Mus musculus: one gene and its partners. Each later gene encodes a partner of the first gene's protein in a complex. Links are inferred from orthologs where the notes say so. Each region holds a gene or a part of one and is shown on either strand. Other genes may lie near its edges.

Region 1 (4,562 bases):
TGGTGGTGTACGCCTTTAATCCCAACACTTGGGAGGCAGAGGCAGGCAGATTTCTGAGTTCAAGGCCAGCCTGGTCTACAAAGTGAGTTCCAGGACAGCCAGGGCTATACAGAGAAATCCTGTCTCGAAAAACCAAAACCAAAACCAAAAAAAAAAAACAAAAAACAAAAAAACCCCAAAACCTAATTTTTAAAAAATGAAGATATATTTCATGAATACCTATGTTCCCTCCACACAGTTATATCAATATAAGGCAAACAAGACTTACCATGTCAAGGCAGTGTTTTGACCACGGGCATTTTCACCCAAGTTAATGTGAGGAAAACAGCCTAGTTCAAATGACTCAACTTTGATTCCTTGGACTCTCGGTGGAAGCTGAGAGCCGACTCTTGAAAGTTGTCTTCTGACCACGCCCTGTGGCATGAGGCTGACTGAGCACACTTAAGCAGCACCCCAATCCATTTCATTCCACTCCAGAAATAACAGCTCTGAATTCTGTGTGGCTTTCCTTTGCCCAACTTTGTAGTTTTACTATCTTAGTGCTTTGGATTTTTTTGGGTGGGTGGGTGGGTGTCTTTTTTTGGAGACAGGGTTTCTCTGTGTAGCCCTGGCTGTCCTGGAGCTCACTCTGTAGACCAGGCTGGCCTCGAACTCAGAAATCTGCCTGCCTCTGCCTCCCCAGTGCTGGGAGTAAAGGCATGTGCCACCAATGCCCTGCAGTACTTTGGATTTTTAAAGTTTAAGTGTAAAAATCTGACTTTTTTTTTCCCATTGAAAACAACTTGTGGGGGCTGGAGAGATGGCTCAGCGGTTAAGAGTACTGGCTGTTCTTCCAGAGGGTCTGAGTTCAATCTATAAAGAGATATGATCCCCTCTTCTGGCATGCAATTGTACCTGCAGACAGTGCACTCATACATTTAAAATGAGTGAATGAACGAGTGAATAATAAATGATTAAACAAATAAAGGAATGAATAAACAAACAAATAGAAAACAACTTGGGCAAGACTCATGGTGGCTCCCGCACCCCTAATTCACTGCTTTCTTAATCACTCTAAAGCCTAAACAAGTCAGCACGGAACGTTCCTTTGGTTGAATCCAGATGAGTGGTAGATCCAAATGAGTGGTTGGGCAAAGGAAAGATACTCCAGTCCTTTCTACAAACTCACGGCGTTAGGGGTAAAAAGAGATCTGGAGACGGGAAAGAAGACTGGTTCAGCCTCCTGGTCCACGTGAGAAAAACTGAGGGATGCTGGGTCAGCTCACTTTTTGGGCCTCTGTCCATTTCTAACGATGGGAGGTGAAAGGCAAAGTCCGAGCGACTGGATGGTGGCGGTCCTTAGGGCCCCAGGGGGCGTGGTGCCAGATGACAGTATTCCAATTTCGCGCTCAGCCAGAGGAAAGACCGACTAGGAGCGCACCAAAGGTACTCCGCCCAGTTCTTTTTGTCCCTCTCGGGTTCCTGTCCACACGCACTACCTCAGCGATCCCATTGGTCGTAGTCCTCGCCTGGGCGGGAGAGAGGGAGCGAGTGGGCGGGGCCGCGTGGCGTCAGCGCAAGATGGCGGCCTCGGCGGCTCTGTTCTCGCGCTTGCGGAGCGGGCTCCGGGTAGGCGCGCGGGGGCTGTGCACGCGGCTAGCGCCGCCACCTCCCCGCACTCCCGAGCAGGTGAGCGGCGCCGGGACGCGCGCCCCGATATGGGGCTTCTCTCTAAAGTTTTGGGCGTCTGGTGGCAACCCCGGCGGGTCTGGGAGACCGCACCTCAGGGTGCTGAATGGGACGGAGCCCGCGTTTTCGATGTTTCCATGCTTCCTGTGTGGACCACAGTTGCTCCCCCGGGGCTGGATTATGGAGGCCCGGAGTGCATCCCCTGGAGCCCAGGTCTCAACCACGTGGGTGCCGGGAGAGGTCACCTGTTCTGATCTCGGTGACCATTCAGGTGATACTTGACGGGGGTGGGGCCCAGGGCGCTAGGGACCCAGGGTCTGTCCCAGTGACATTTCAATCGCCTCCTTGAGCGAGAGGAACAGGAAGGATCCAGCCTGCCGTCCGTTCCAGCCTAGCCATTCTGACCTCCAAGTCCATGACTTTCCGTTCCCAAAGTCCCAGACAGGAGATTGCCTCTCCTCGCTCTTGCTTCCTTCCCTTCCAAACCCCTCCATCTTGGGCTCTGGGTATCCGGATATCTTAACTGTTCGTTCTGTCCCTTGGGTGCCCTCTGTCCCTTTAGTTTTGACATCTCTGTGCTAGCGCGCGCGCGCACACACACACACACACACACACACCCATCCCTTATTCTCCTTGCCCTACTCTTCCTGGCTCCAGACCCTGCAGTGCTATTGCTTCCAAGACCTTGAGCAATTTGCCCTTTCAGCTCTTGAACCCCTGTGATTCTCTAGACAGTTTAGTTGTGACTGTCTGAGGGGAGCAGCCTCTGAACTCACCCCTTCAGGGACACAGTTTTCTGCTCTGGATGTCCACTTCCTGGTTCTTGATCTTGAGGCTGCTTGGACAAATTTAAGTATTCTGTTATTTCTCTCTGTGTGACCTCTCCTCCATCCCCCTCCACTCAGGTCACTGAAATTGCCAACCGTGGGGGCTCCAAGGCCCAGGGGCCACAGCACCAGCCAGGCTCCGAGGGTCCCAGCTATGCCAAAAAAATTGCGCTCTGGATCGCCGGTTTGCTCGGAGCTGGTGGGACTGTCAGCATCGTCTATATTTTTGGTGAGAGACATAACCCTTGACTGTTGGCCCCCAGATTTCTACTGTGAACCCCCCCTTTCTTTCCCCATACTCAGTTCATTACCTGGCTCCTCCAACTAGGATACTCACCTTGAAATTCAAGAAGTCCTCTTCGACCCCTTGTACTTAAAAGTTCTATCCTCTAGTTGTTCCCTGTACCTGAATTCAGGAACTAAGGGAATGGTGGGAAGAGTAGGGCTAGACCAGTGTGCTTGGTTTCAGTCCTGGGACAAGGGACTGCGGTTCGTATTGGTGGAGAAATAACCTGTCACCGTGCCTGAAGCTATGTGTCCATCTCAGCAGCAGAAGTCTACCTTCCCCTTGTGTGTCCAGCTCAGCCCCAGCCCACTTGGAATCCTGACCCCTAACCTCTTCCTCCCTTTATCCAGGAGCTGTGCCTCTAGCCATAATCCCTTTGAGTGGGGAGTCCCCACCCCTCACTCTCCTCCCCCCTCCAGACCCAGTAGACACTGCTCCAAGGCTCCAGTTTTCTTCATTTGTCTCTTGTCTCCTTCCCTGGCAGGAAACAACCCTGTGGATGAAAATGGTACCAAGGTGAGGAGAGTGAGAGGCAGAGGTGTGAGGGGTCGGTTCTGTGAGGGTGCGGGGCAGGTTGCCTTCCATTGGGTCAGGCTCTCTATAGTCTGCACTGAGCCTCTCCCTTCTTCTCTGGGACTCAGCCTGGAACTCGCAGACTGAATGTGCTGGGCTCCTGCCTCTGCCGGTTCAAACCTTTCCTTTTTTCCCCAGATTCCTGATGAATTCGACAGCGGTGAGTGATTAAACACAGAGCTGGGCTTCCTTCCCACCTCTGCTGCTCTGTTTATTCCTGTAGAGTGCTCTTGGCCTGTCTCATACACCAACCCCTCCTCCATCCGAGGTGTGGCAGTTAGATGGCTCAGGGGACAGACGTGACAAAAGCTCCCTTTCGCGGCCCCACCGCCCTGGAGCAGATGGTCAGGGACAGATGGGGGCAGGGAGCGTCAGCAGTCCATCCCAGACACAGGGCTTTCTGTGCCTTAGATTTGGCATCTGCAGCCCCTGACCCCACTCTTTTATAACACCTTTTTTTTTTTTTTAAATCCCCAAGTCCCTACTCCAACCCATGCCTCATTTCCAAAACAGTGTCTCTCTGTGTCTGTGTCTGTGTCTCTGCCCTGCTTCTCCACACACCCCGACTACCAGAGTTTGTTAAGGGACTTCCAATAAATTCGATAGTGGAATAGTTGTGGTTTTTACCGGACCTTTTCTTAGAGAAGGTGACGTTTGTGGGTCCGAAAGGCCCCTGTTTGTGTGGGAGGTCTGCAGACAGCATGTACAAGCACTGACCGCTCTGTTCATGCTAGGCAGATGGGTAAGTCTGTTCTTTTAACTGGAGAGGCCAACCCCCTTGTTTTATCTTTTTTTTTTCTTATTTATTTGTTTTTGAGACAGGGTCTCTCTATGTAGCCCTGGCTGTCCTGGAGCTCACTGTGTAGACCAGGCTAATCTCAAACCCACAGAGATCCACTTGTCTCTTCTCCCAATTGCTGGAATTAAAGGCCTACACCACCATGCCCTGCTCTCCACTGGTTTAAACAAATTACCTAAATTGGGCAGGTAGACATGGGAGGTTAAAGTGTGCCTACTAGTTTAAACTGGCTTCAACATTGTGTCTTTTAAGAGGCAGGCTCACAGATAGAGCTAGAGTAAGAATAACATATTGAAATATTTCCATTGATTTTCCTGTGTTCATTTAACCCAGAGTTTTCACCCTTGGCTCTAACACTGATGGTTTTTATTAGGACAGTGGCTGCTGGGGTTGGAGGATGGGTGCTGGG
Region 2 (4,706 bases), on another chromosome or scaffold:
GTTCACTGCTGCCTGCAGCAGGGTCTAAGTGTAAAGCATCCCCCATCTAGACCAACTCCTTTAGTCCTGAGATTTCAACCAGGTTTTCTTTTCCATTTTCCATACACCAAACATATACAGACAGTTCAAGAAAACAAGACTAACCAAGTCCTTGCCTTACCCCGCCCCTTCACACAACTGAACACTCTTTAATAGCCTCTCACTGCCCTGAAAATGTAAAATTCAAGATCCTTAGTACTGTCCACACTTACTCAGCAGAGTAGGATCACTGTCCTAATTCTCTGCAGCCCATCTCTCACCATTCCACCGTTGATTCTGCGCACCCACTGCATATCTGAAGTACCTCTTTACTTTCTTCTCCAGTACTCACAGTAAGTACCAAACCTTCTGGACTACCATAACTAACTTAAGTATACTTAATTCCTACCAAAACAATGGCTCCTTCATGAACAACAACATCCATTACTCTCTGTTACAGGTATTTGACTTGTGCTATTGTTTCTCTCTCCTCACAGATTTCAAGGTACGAAAGAAGAGACCAAGTTCCTCGTGTTCAACATCGTGTGCCAGGGACAAATACAATCCAGCAAGCTAAGGCTAACAGCTCTGCACTCTGGAAGTCAGCTCTCACTGAGTCTACTGCAACAACTTTCTTTACGATTTTTGGAGACTGAAGCGCCCTTCTGCTTCACATACACAACTAGACTTCCTTAACAGGGCAAATTCTCTATCCAAGCTGAGGAAAGTATCCCGGGGAGGTCCGGTAACTACCTGTCCAACAAAGTTTTCCACAACACACATGCCACTAGTAAAACTGTAGCGCCTCTCATTGGAGTGGCATCTAGTGATTGAACATCGGGGTCATCAGAGTGGTGGAAACAAGATCAGTTAGGAGTGACTGGAGTCTCCTGGTCCTCACACTGAAACAAGGACAAAGATTTTTTTTTTCCCACGTACCAAACGAGGTGGCGTTGCCTCTGTGCGGTCCCGCCCGCCCCGAGACGCAGGCTGGCGAGGACGGAGGGACCCTGAACTGGACGGGAGCGTCCTTGGGGTCGAGAACACGCCTCTGCCTGCCAGGGAAGCTCCGGGAGTCCGAGGCAGTCGGCGCAGAAGTTCCAGCGGCGCCCCAGCGGGGCCGCTTCGTGCAGGGCTCCCAGCCGGGGCCCGCACTCATGCTGGGACCCGCAGCACACAGTCCCCGGGCCGGCCCGGGCGGAGAGCCTCATTCACTAACCCGGACAGGGACGGACTGCGCCTCCTTCTCGGCGCGCCGCGCACCATTCCCTCTCCGCAGCGGCCCGCCTGGAGGCTGCCACTCCTCGGGCCTTCGAGCGAGACCCTCGCTGCGCAGCCGCTTGCCTCCGCTCGGCAGCAGGGAGCCCACCAGCCCCGGGACGCGCCGCTTCCACTCGGCTCGAGATCGGGCTCCGGCTCCAGGCTCACTTTCCCACCACCGGAAAGCAGCCGTCTCGCGCTTCCCACTTCCGGGCCGCACACAGCCGTAAAGCGGAAGTGCGATACTTCACGGGAGCCGGCGCCCGGAAGGTCAGCGTGGTGAAGGTGGCAGGAGCAACGCGGGTCTTCCCGCTGTTGCTTGTCGCGGCCACGGCCGAGCATACGTCCCCGGCCTGAGGTGGTGGTGGCGAGCCCACCGCCGTTTGCTGCGACCTCATGGAAGGTGGCGGAGGAAGTAGCAACAAATCCACCAGCGGGTTAGCTGGCTTCTTCGGAGCCGGAGGAGCGGGTTACTCGAACGCTGATTTGGCCGGCGTCCCGCGTGAGTATCGGGCCTCGCCTGCTCCCCTTTCTGACTCCTTCCTGGGACAGCTAGAAATGTGTAACGTTCCTGTCCCTTTTCCTGCTCGCCTTTACGAGATTCACCGCCGGTGATTGGGTTTCAAGGCTGAACGAATTTGGGGGATCGTAAATCCCCGGGAAGCTCTTTTAGTGACCTAGTTTCGAGAGGAAACACAAAATGTCCTCCTCTTTAGTGCCCCGTCCCGTCTTTTCTCGTCACACGCTTTTCTGTATGCTTGGCCCTGTTAGGAGACCCTAGTTCTAGAAATAAACATTCCAAATAACAAGCGCGCTATTAATTTTTTTTCACACGGCTTTTAAATATTTCTAAACCAGTTAGGCGAAAACATTTTTCGTTCTTTGTGCGTGTGAGAGACAATTCAGGAAATCAGAAGGAGCTGGGGAAGCAAACGAAACTTTTAAGAGATTTTTAAACAAGAAAAAAGAGCCAAATTCTGAAAGCGATATAAGCAAATTCAAAGATGCAGAGGCATGAATTCCCAGCCTGTTGGCCCTTCTCAATCACCTAAGTATGTCTTTCAGGCTTTTAATGTTTTGTAATTATGGATATTCGACTGGATAAGTAGAGCTTGGGAGTTAATGTTTAATAACACTTTACTAAAGTGTTTCTTCTTGCTAATCCTCTAAGTAAAACCTTTACACTTAAAAACATTCAGAAAGCCGTTTGATAACCCTAATGTCTGCTGTCAAAACTTGAGTCCAGGACACAATTTATGTGTATCTTAGGATATCTCAGTTGCATAACATGAAGGGCACTACTTAAGGTGAGAGAGTACACATACTACTGAGGAGAGTAACGTGAGGACACAGAAGTTAGTGATAGATGACATGGCAATTGAAATAGGACCCTGAGATGGTGGTGGTGGTGATGGGCCGTGAAGGTTGTTGGAGAACAGGTTAGAGAAAACAGCTTGGGAGTTGAAGTTAGAGCTGTGACCTGAATTTAGCAACAAGTGCTTGAGAGACAGAACAAACCTGCTGTGTTTCTTGAGAAGCTATTGGGTCAGTTTGTCTTTAGAGTTGCAAGGGAATGAACTGATACAAGATTGATTGTAAGAGTTGAGAGGCAAGCCGGGCGTGGTGGCACACGCCTTTAATCCCAGCACTCGAGAGGCAGAGGCAGGCGGATTTCTGAGTTCGAGGCCAGCCTGGCCTACAAAGTGAGCTCCAGAACAGCCAGGGCTACACAGAGAAACCCTGTCTCGAAAAACCAAAAAAAAAAAAGAGTTGAGAGGCAGGAAACAGCAACAAATACAAGCTTTTATAAGCAAGGAAGGGGGGATTAGATTTGATCTAATTGTAGATGAAAGCCATTAGGGCTGATTTCATAATTTCTACAGAGAAAGTGTGTTGAAGGGATAAGAGAAAGTAAGAAATGGTTGGTATGAGATGGGATGCTTGTGTAACAATTGGAAGTCTGAAATAACAGGACTTAAAATTGATCAATAGGCTGGGCGTGGTGGCGCACGCCTTTAATCCCAGCACTTGGGAGGCAGAGGCAGGCGGATTTCTAAGTTCAAGGACAGCCAGGGCTACACAGAGAAACCCTGTCTCGAAAAACCAAAAAAAAAAAAAAAAAAAAAAAAAAGAATTGATCAATAGAATCATGCTTAGTGCATACATTTGTGAGCAATCAACCAAGATACAAAAGGACCCCAAATAGTATATTTAAAATCTATGAACATTAATTTTTCTTGCTAGATTATTTTTTGTTTTCAAAGTTGGTAGATTTAAAGTTAACCTGAAAGTCTGTATTTTCTGTTCCATTAAGCTTCATCTCTGGGTGAAAGCAGAGAGTCTCCTTGCCGTAATAAAGAGATTCTGTTAGCAAGATTGTTAGAAATGTGATGTGGACGATCTGCTTTGATAGACTTTTCTACAATCAAAAACCTAGGACTAGAGAGATGGCTCAGTGGTTAAGAGCACTAACTGCTCTTCCGGAGGTCCTGAGTTCAATTCCCAGCAACCACATGGTGGCTCACAACCATCTGATGCCCTCTTCTGGTGTGTCTGAAGACAGCTATAGTGTACTCACATGCATAAAAAAAATAAATAAATCTTTAAACAAACAAACTAACTAACCCAACTACTATTTTCCCTGAGAGACTGCTTATACTTGGCTGTTATGCTAGTTAAGGAAACTGCTTATACATACATACATACATACATACATACATACATACAAACATAGGTGGGGAGGAGTGGGTATGGGCACTTTGTGCCAAGCCTGGTGTCCTGTGTCCAATCCCTAGAACCAAACTGGTAGGTGGAAGGGACTCCAGTGAGCCCTCCACATGCACACTAGCACACACACAAACTAAAGGAAATGTGTGAATGTGAAAAGGAAGGGTAAACATAAACCAAAACAGGAATAACACTAAGCTAATTTTTCTAGGAGTTTTATGATTTGATATTAGTGCCAATATCTTATGAAAATGTAGGGCATGGGGCAAGGCCTAATTCCCAAAGAAAATTTACATTCATTGAGTTTCACAGTGTGTAACCGTTAGCTGAGTCCTATATGAAATCTTTGTGTGGATTTTGTTGCGATGTGACATTCTGTTTTCTCTCTAGTGACTGGTATGAACCCCCTGTCTCCTTATTTAAATGTGGATCCACGCTATCTCGTTCAGGTAAGATAAAGCTTTTACTAGTTTAAAGGTGTGCACCACCACAACTTCTTCAACCTATTAAATGACATCCACAGAACATCCACAGCTAATGTCATTCTTGACAATAAGAGACTGAGTCATGATCCCTCAAGATCAGGGGCGATACAGACATTTCCATTCTCTCTACTTCTCAGAATTGTCTAGGCAGCATAGCTAAAAATACAATATAAACTAAGTGGAATTTGCTGAAGCTTGGTGGTGCATGCCCATAAG
Region 3 (4,634 bases), on another chromosome or scaffold:
CATATATACATGTGTACATACACACACAGACACATGTATATCTGGCCTAGAATTCAGTATGTAAACCAGGCTGTCTCCTGTGATCCCTTTTACCTGCCCCAGCCATGCTGGGGACTACAGATGAATGCCACCATACTTATGTCTATTTGTTTTTTATTTTTTGAAGACTGGGTCTTGCCAAATTGCCATGTCTGGCCTTGACCTCCTGGACTCAAGCCATGTTTGTAGCTCAGCCTCCTTAGTACCTGAGATATTTGTACCTGCCACCGTGTCCACTTGATTCATGACTTAAATTAAAGCTATCCCTCCAGCCTTACACTTCACACAGCACCCACCAACCACGAAGAAGTAATGAATATCAGAAAAAATTATATTGACAACGAGATGCCTGCCAGGCCATGCAAGATACCAAGTATCAAAACCAAGGTGCCAGTCAAGGAGATATACTTCAATAGAGCGCATCCAAGAGCTCTGGTCTAACCCCAGCAGTACAAGGGGGCGGGGGAAGATGCACACTAGGACGGCAGAAGATGGCAGAGCACTTACTTAGCAAACACCTAGGTTCGACAGGGGCGGGAGGGGGCGGAGAAAAGGGGGAATAAAGAATAGAATAAACAGCAGAACGTCTATTAACACTGGCACATGATAGATGCATCTGCTTTTAGTTTTCTCACCCGGCTCCAGATGTTTGAGGATGCCCCTCTTCGCCAAGCGGGTCTGCAGCGCAACAGGAAGCGGCATAGTGGGTAGCTGACCAGACCTAGAAACAGACAAGACAGTACTGAAGGGCAGATCTGATTAACATTTCAATCTGGATAGCCAGTAACCACGCGTGTGTTCACACACACACACACACACACACACACACACACACACACACACACACACACACACCTACGTAACTGCAACAGTAGCTGGAAGAGAACAAAAATGCGTGCTAAAAGATAAAAGAGATATGTAGCAATATGGCCAGAATTAGGATCAGCAGAACTCTCCGGACCCAGGCACTGGAGACCGGATGGACCAAAGACCCAGTTCCTCTCTAGACCAAGGCTCCACCCATCACCCAAGGGACCAAGTGCCACACACCCGCAACCCAGAAATGGGATCACCCAACGTTCCTCAAAGTCCGCACGGTGGGCGGAACCAAGGCGCTAGGATGGGGGAGATACAATGCCAACGCCATCTCCAGCTTTAAAAGAAAGCTTACACCCCAGCCTTACCAGTACAACTGTGCGATTAGTCAAAGTCTATCTCCTTACCCTCCTCTCCCTCATTGGCACAGTGCTTACCAACACCGAAGGGCTCTTGGTTTAAAGCACAACAGGCTCCTCGACTCTCCCCAGGTGCAATTAACTGGTCGCATCCGACGCTTACATGGAACGGATGTGGCCCTTCTGGCTAGCCAATAAGAGCGCGCCGTTGGCCTTACGTAAGCAGAGAAGAACCAATTGTTCCCTTGGTCTACGTACAGCGCCTCAGAGCTTGTGGGCGTTTCGGAGCGGGAGGGGGACGGGGGGAGTGTCTCGCCCGCGCCACCGACTGCGCCAGGCCGGACTCTGGCGCCATGGAGGAGTACGCTCGCGAACCTTGGTACGGCGATGGGCACAGGCTTCGGGACAGTCCGCGCGACGCTCAGGCGGACAACGGGAGGCGGGCGGGGAAGGCAGGGGCTGCAGTGTCAAGTCCCTGACCCGGGAGGCTCGGAAACTTCACTGCCTCTGCGCATCCGGCATGGCCCCTCCCACTCGGACTTCGTCAAAAAACCGCCACCGTGGAGTGTCCCAGTATGTGCGGTGTGGGACAAACTATCGCACTGTTGCCCTGGCTCTTCTCCTAGACCCCCTTTGTGAGCCAAAAGAGAAACGCTGGGCAGATCCATTCCGGCGGTGAGGGAGGAGAGGCGTGGAGCCAATATCCACAGGGTTTCTTCGTGTCGCTTTTCTCAGGCTGGCTTTTGACATAGGATAGGGCATGTGTGAACTCACTGTGGGCTAAGCCAGATGGCACCTGGCTTTTCCGCACGGTCTTTTGATTTGTCCGATTTAGGTTTTAAAAGGACACAAGGGTTTCTCTGGACGTGCTTTTTGTGTCGAACCGAGTGTCAGTCACCCTGTTTATATTTTACTTAAATAACGTTTGCTAGTTAACACTATTGAAGCCTGACACGACAACTCCCCCCCCCCCCTCCCAGACACGGTTACTCTGTGGTGTAGCCCTGGCTGTCCTGGAACTCACTCTGTAGTCTTGAACTAAGAAATCCTCCTGCCTCTGCCCCCCAAGTTCTGGGATTAAAGGCGTGAACCACCCCTGCCAGGCACATGACAACTCTTACTGATTTTTGATAGTAACAAAAACCATTTTGTTTTTGGCTCCTGGTTCTAGGATTTGAGGGACTCTGTTCTTCAAATCTAGTTTCACGTAGAACTCTCTGAGAATACTGTATTGTCAGAAACAGTCATAGGGGCTCAGTGGTAGAGTAGTTGATTTAAGCAAGAGACAGATTGTGGGGGACAGGGGACCTAGATTCCAAAGCCATTTGATTTTTGATAATGACAAAAACAGTTGTATTGACGCTTGCTTGTAATCAAGAGCACTGCTCTGCCAGTAGTAAACCCATCGTTGCAAGGCTATGTGGTGAGACACCTCCCCCATCCCAAATTGTTTTCTCACTTTTGTACCACAGATAGATTTACAAACCTTTTCTTTTGGGGTTTGTTTGTTTTGAGACAGTATCTCACTATAGAACCCTGGCTGGCCTCGAACTGACTAGACTAGGCTGACCTCTGACCTCAGAGTGCTGGTATTAAAAGGCACAAACTTTCTTTGTGGGACAGGGTCTCCATTTAGAGCCCAAGTTGGACTGCCAACTTGTGATCCTCCTGTCTCAGCCTTCCAAGTGTTGATCACAGGTGTGCAGAAACACATCTGGTTTTCCTTTCTGGCTTTCTGGGGAATATAAAAAGTGTCAGAACTAATTTGTTGTCATCTAAGGTGTTCTGCATCAGTCCTGAGCTTCCCTGTTTGGTTCTCCAAGCAGGGCAGGGTCTCACATTAACCCAATCTTTTCCTTCCTGCTTGCAGCCCATGGCGAATTGTGGATGATTGCGGTGGAGCTTTCACCATGGGTGTCATTGGTGGTGGAGTCTTCCAGGCTATCAAGGGCTTCCGCAATGCCCCTGTTGTGAGTTGGGCCTTCCTCCAGTGGTGTGGGAATCTGCGGTCTTGCTGACATAGGAGTACTGCTCTGAGCATACTGAACATTCTGTTGATTGTTCACCTACTGTGTGTTGGGCCTGGCTTCTGGATTTAGGGTTTGAGGGATTCTGTTCTTCAACTATCCAGCTAGAACTCTGGAAATACTGTACTGTCAGAAACAGTCTTAGGGGCTAGAAGTATTTAGCTCAGTGGTAGAACAGTTGATTTAAGCAAGTGGGTGGGTGTGTATGTGTGTGTGGGGTGCCCACAGTTCCATCCTTAGAATTAGAATAAAAAGAAAAGGGTTAGCATCAAATTTTCAATGTGTATACACCGTAGATTTTACCACAAGACAGTCTTTGGGATAAAATTCTATATGGATGGTGGTGCCACACACCTTTAATCCCAGCCCTTGGGAGGTAAAGGCAGTCAGATCTGTGAGTTGAGGCCAGATCTGGTCTACAGAGTGAATTTTGGGACAACCAGGGCTACACAGAAAAACCCTGTCTCCCCCACCCCCCCTCAAAAAATCCTCTATACAGGAAAATGACAGGAGTTGGGCAGAAAGAACCTTTTTTTTTTCTTTTTCTTTTTCTTTTTTTTTTTTTTTTTTTTTTTTTTGGATTTTTTGAGACAGGGTTTCTCTGTATAGCCCTGGTTGTCCTGGAACTCACCCTGTAGACCAGGCTGCCGGCCTCAAACTCAGAAATCTGCCAGCCTCTACCTCCCAAGTGCTGGGATTAAAGGCGTACGTCACCACTGCCTGGCAGAAAGAACCTTTAAGTTGAAGGAGAGAGTAATATAATACCTTTCCTTTGAGCCCCACCCCTTGAAGATAGAAGGCTCATTGGATTTGGTAGCAAGCATGAGGCATGCTTACTATGCCTCTAACAGTGGTGGAGGTGATGGAACACAAGACAGGCATATATATCCCTAGAGCTTGCTGGCCAGTCAGCCTAGCTAGAAGTTGGTTCAGTGAGATACTCTGACTTCCACATGTTCACACACCTGCACGGTCATGTGTATATTCCACACAGACACACACAAACCGTTTTCCGCAGCACAGGTTGGCACACAACTTCAAATCCTCCTGTCCCGGCTTTCCAAGTACTAGCATTCCAGGCATCTGGCAGCATACCTGGTTCTGTAGCCTTTCTGTCTTGCTCGGAGTCGTCCTCAGCTCCTAGAACTCTCCTTCCTGCACCTTTGTCCATAGTTCTCATTTTTGGGAATCTTCGCACGTATTGCGCCCTCTTCTTTTTTTCTTCTGCACTAAGGAATGGAGTCTGGTACCTCCATCTTCCCATCCTGCATGCTAAGAATATTGCCGAGCTGCAGCCTCAGCCTCCTTCACAGGTTCCTCTAATGCAGGTTCACTTTGCTCCTTGCTCACTGTCACTCTTCCTAGGGCGGTTGTTCTTTTTTTGGTATTTCGA

The links.
Region 2: Timm50 (region 1) and Timm23 share a complex: the UniProt entries of both Homo sapiens proteins name them as parts of the TIM23 complex. The link is inferred for Mus musculus from reciprocal best matches to the Homo sapiens genes TIMM50 and TIMM23.
Region 3: Timm50 (region 1) and Timm17b share a complex: the UniProt entries of both Homo sapiens proteins name them as parts of the TIM23 complex. The link is inferred for Mus musculus from reciprocal best matches to the Homo sapiens genes TIMM50 and TIMM17B.

The regions. Positions count from the first base shown.
Region 1 is NC_000073.6:28,309,031-28,313,592, reverse strand, and holds the start of Timm50 (mitochondrial import inner membrane translocase subunit TIM50 precursor), read left to right. Parts: upstream 1-1,546; 5' UTR 1,547-1,560; coding exon 1,561-1,668; exon of another isoform or gene 1,669-1,774; coding exon of another isoform or gene 1,775-1,939; intron 1,940-2,444; exon of another isoform or gene 2,445-2,503; intron 2,504-2,573; coding exon 2,574-2,724; intron 2,725-2,832; exon of another isoform or gene 2,833-3,265; coding exon 3,266-3,297; exon of another isoform or gene 3,298-3,492; coding exon 3,493-3,514; exon of another isoform or gene 3,515-3,753; intron 3,754-4,562. UniProt on the Homo sapiens protein: Essential component of the TIM23 complex, a complex that mediates the translocation of transit peptide-containing proteins across the mitochondrial inner membrane. Has some phosphatase activity in vitro; however such activity may not be relevant in vivo.
Region 2 is NC_000080.6:32,198,717-32,203,422, reverse strand, and holds the start of Timm23 (mitochondrial import inner membrane translocase subunit Tim23), read left to right. Parts: upstream 1-1,531; 5' UTR 1,532-1,674; coding exon 1,675-1,780; intron 1,781-4,395; coding exon 4,396-4,454; intron 4,455-4,706. Other genes in the region: Parg (poly(ADP-ribose) glycohydrolase), read right to left, coding at 958-1,177. UniProt on the Homo sapiens protein: Essential component of the TIM23 complex, a complex that mediates the translocation of transit peptide-containing proteins across the mitochondrial inner membrane.
Region 3 is NC_000086.7:7,897,877-7,902,510, forward strand, and holds the start of Timm17b (mitochondrial import inner membrane translocase subunit Tim17-B), read left to right. Parts: upstream 1-1,459; 5' UTR 1,460-1,567; coding exon 1,568-1,593; intron 1,594-1,800; exon of another isoform or gene 1,801-1,889; intron 1,890-3,084; coding exon 3,085-3,184; intron 3,185-4,634. Other genes in the region: Pqbp1 (polyglutamine-binding protein 1), read right to left, coding at 675-760, 1,293-1,366. UniProt on the Homo sapiens protein: Essential component of the TIM23 complex, a complex that mediates the translocation of transit peptide-containing proteins across the mitochondrial inner membrane.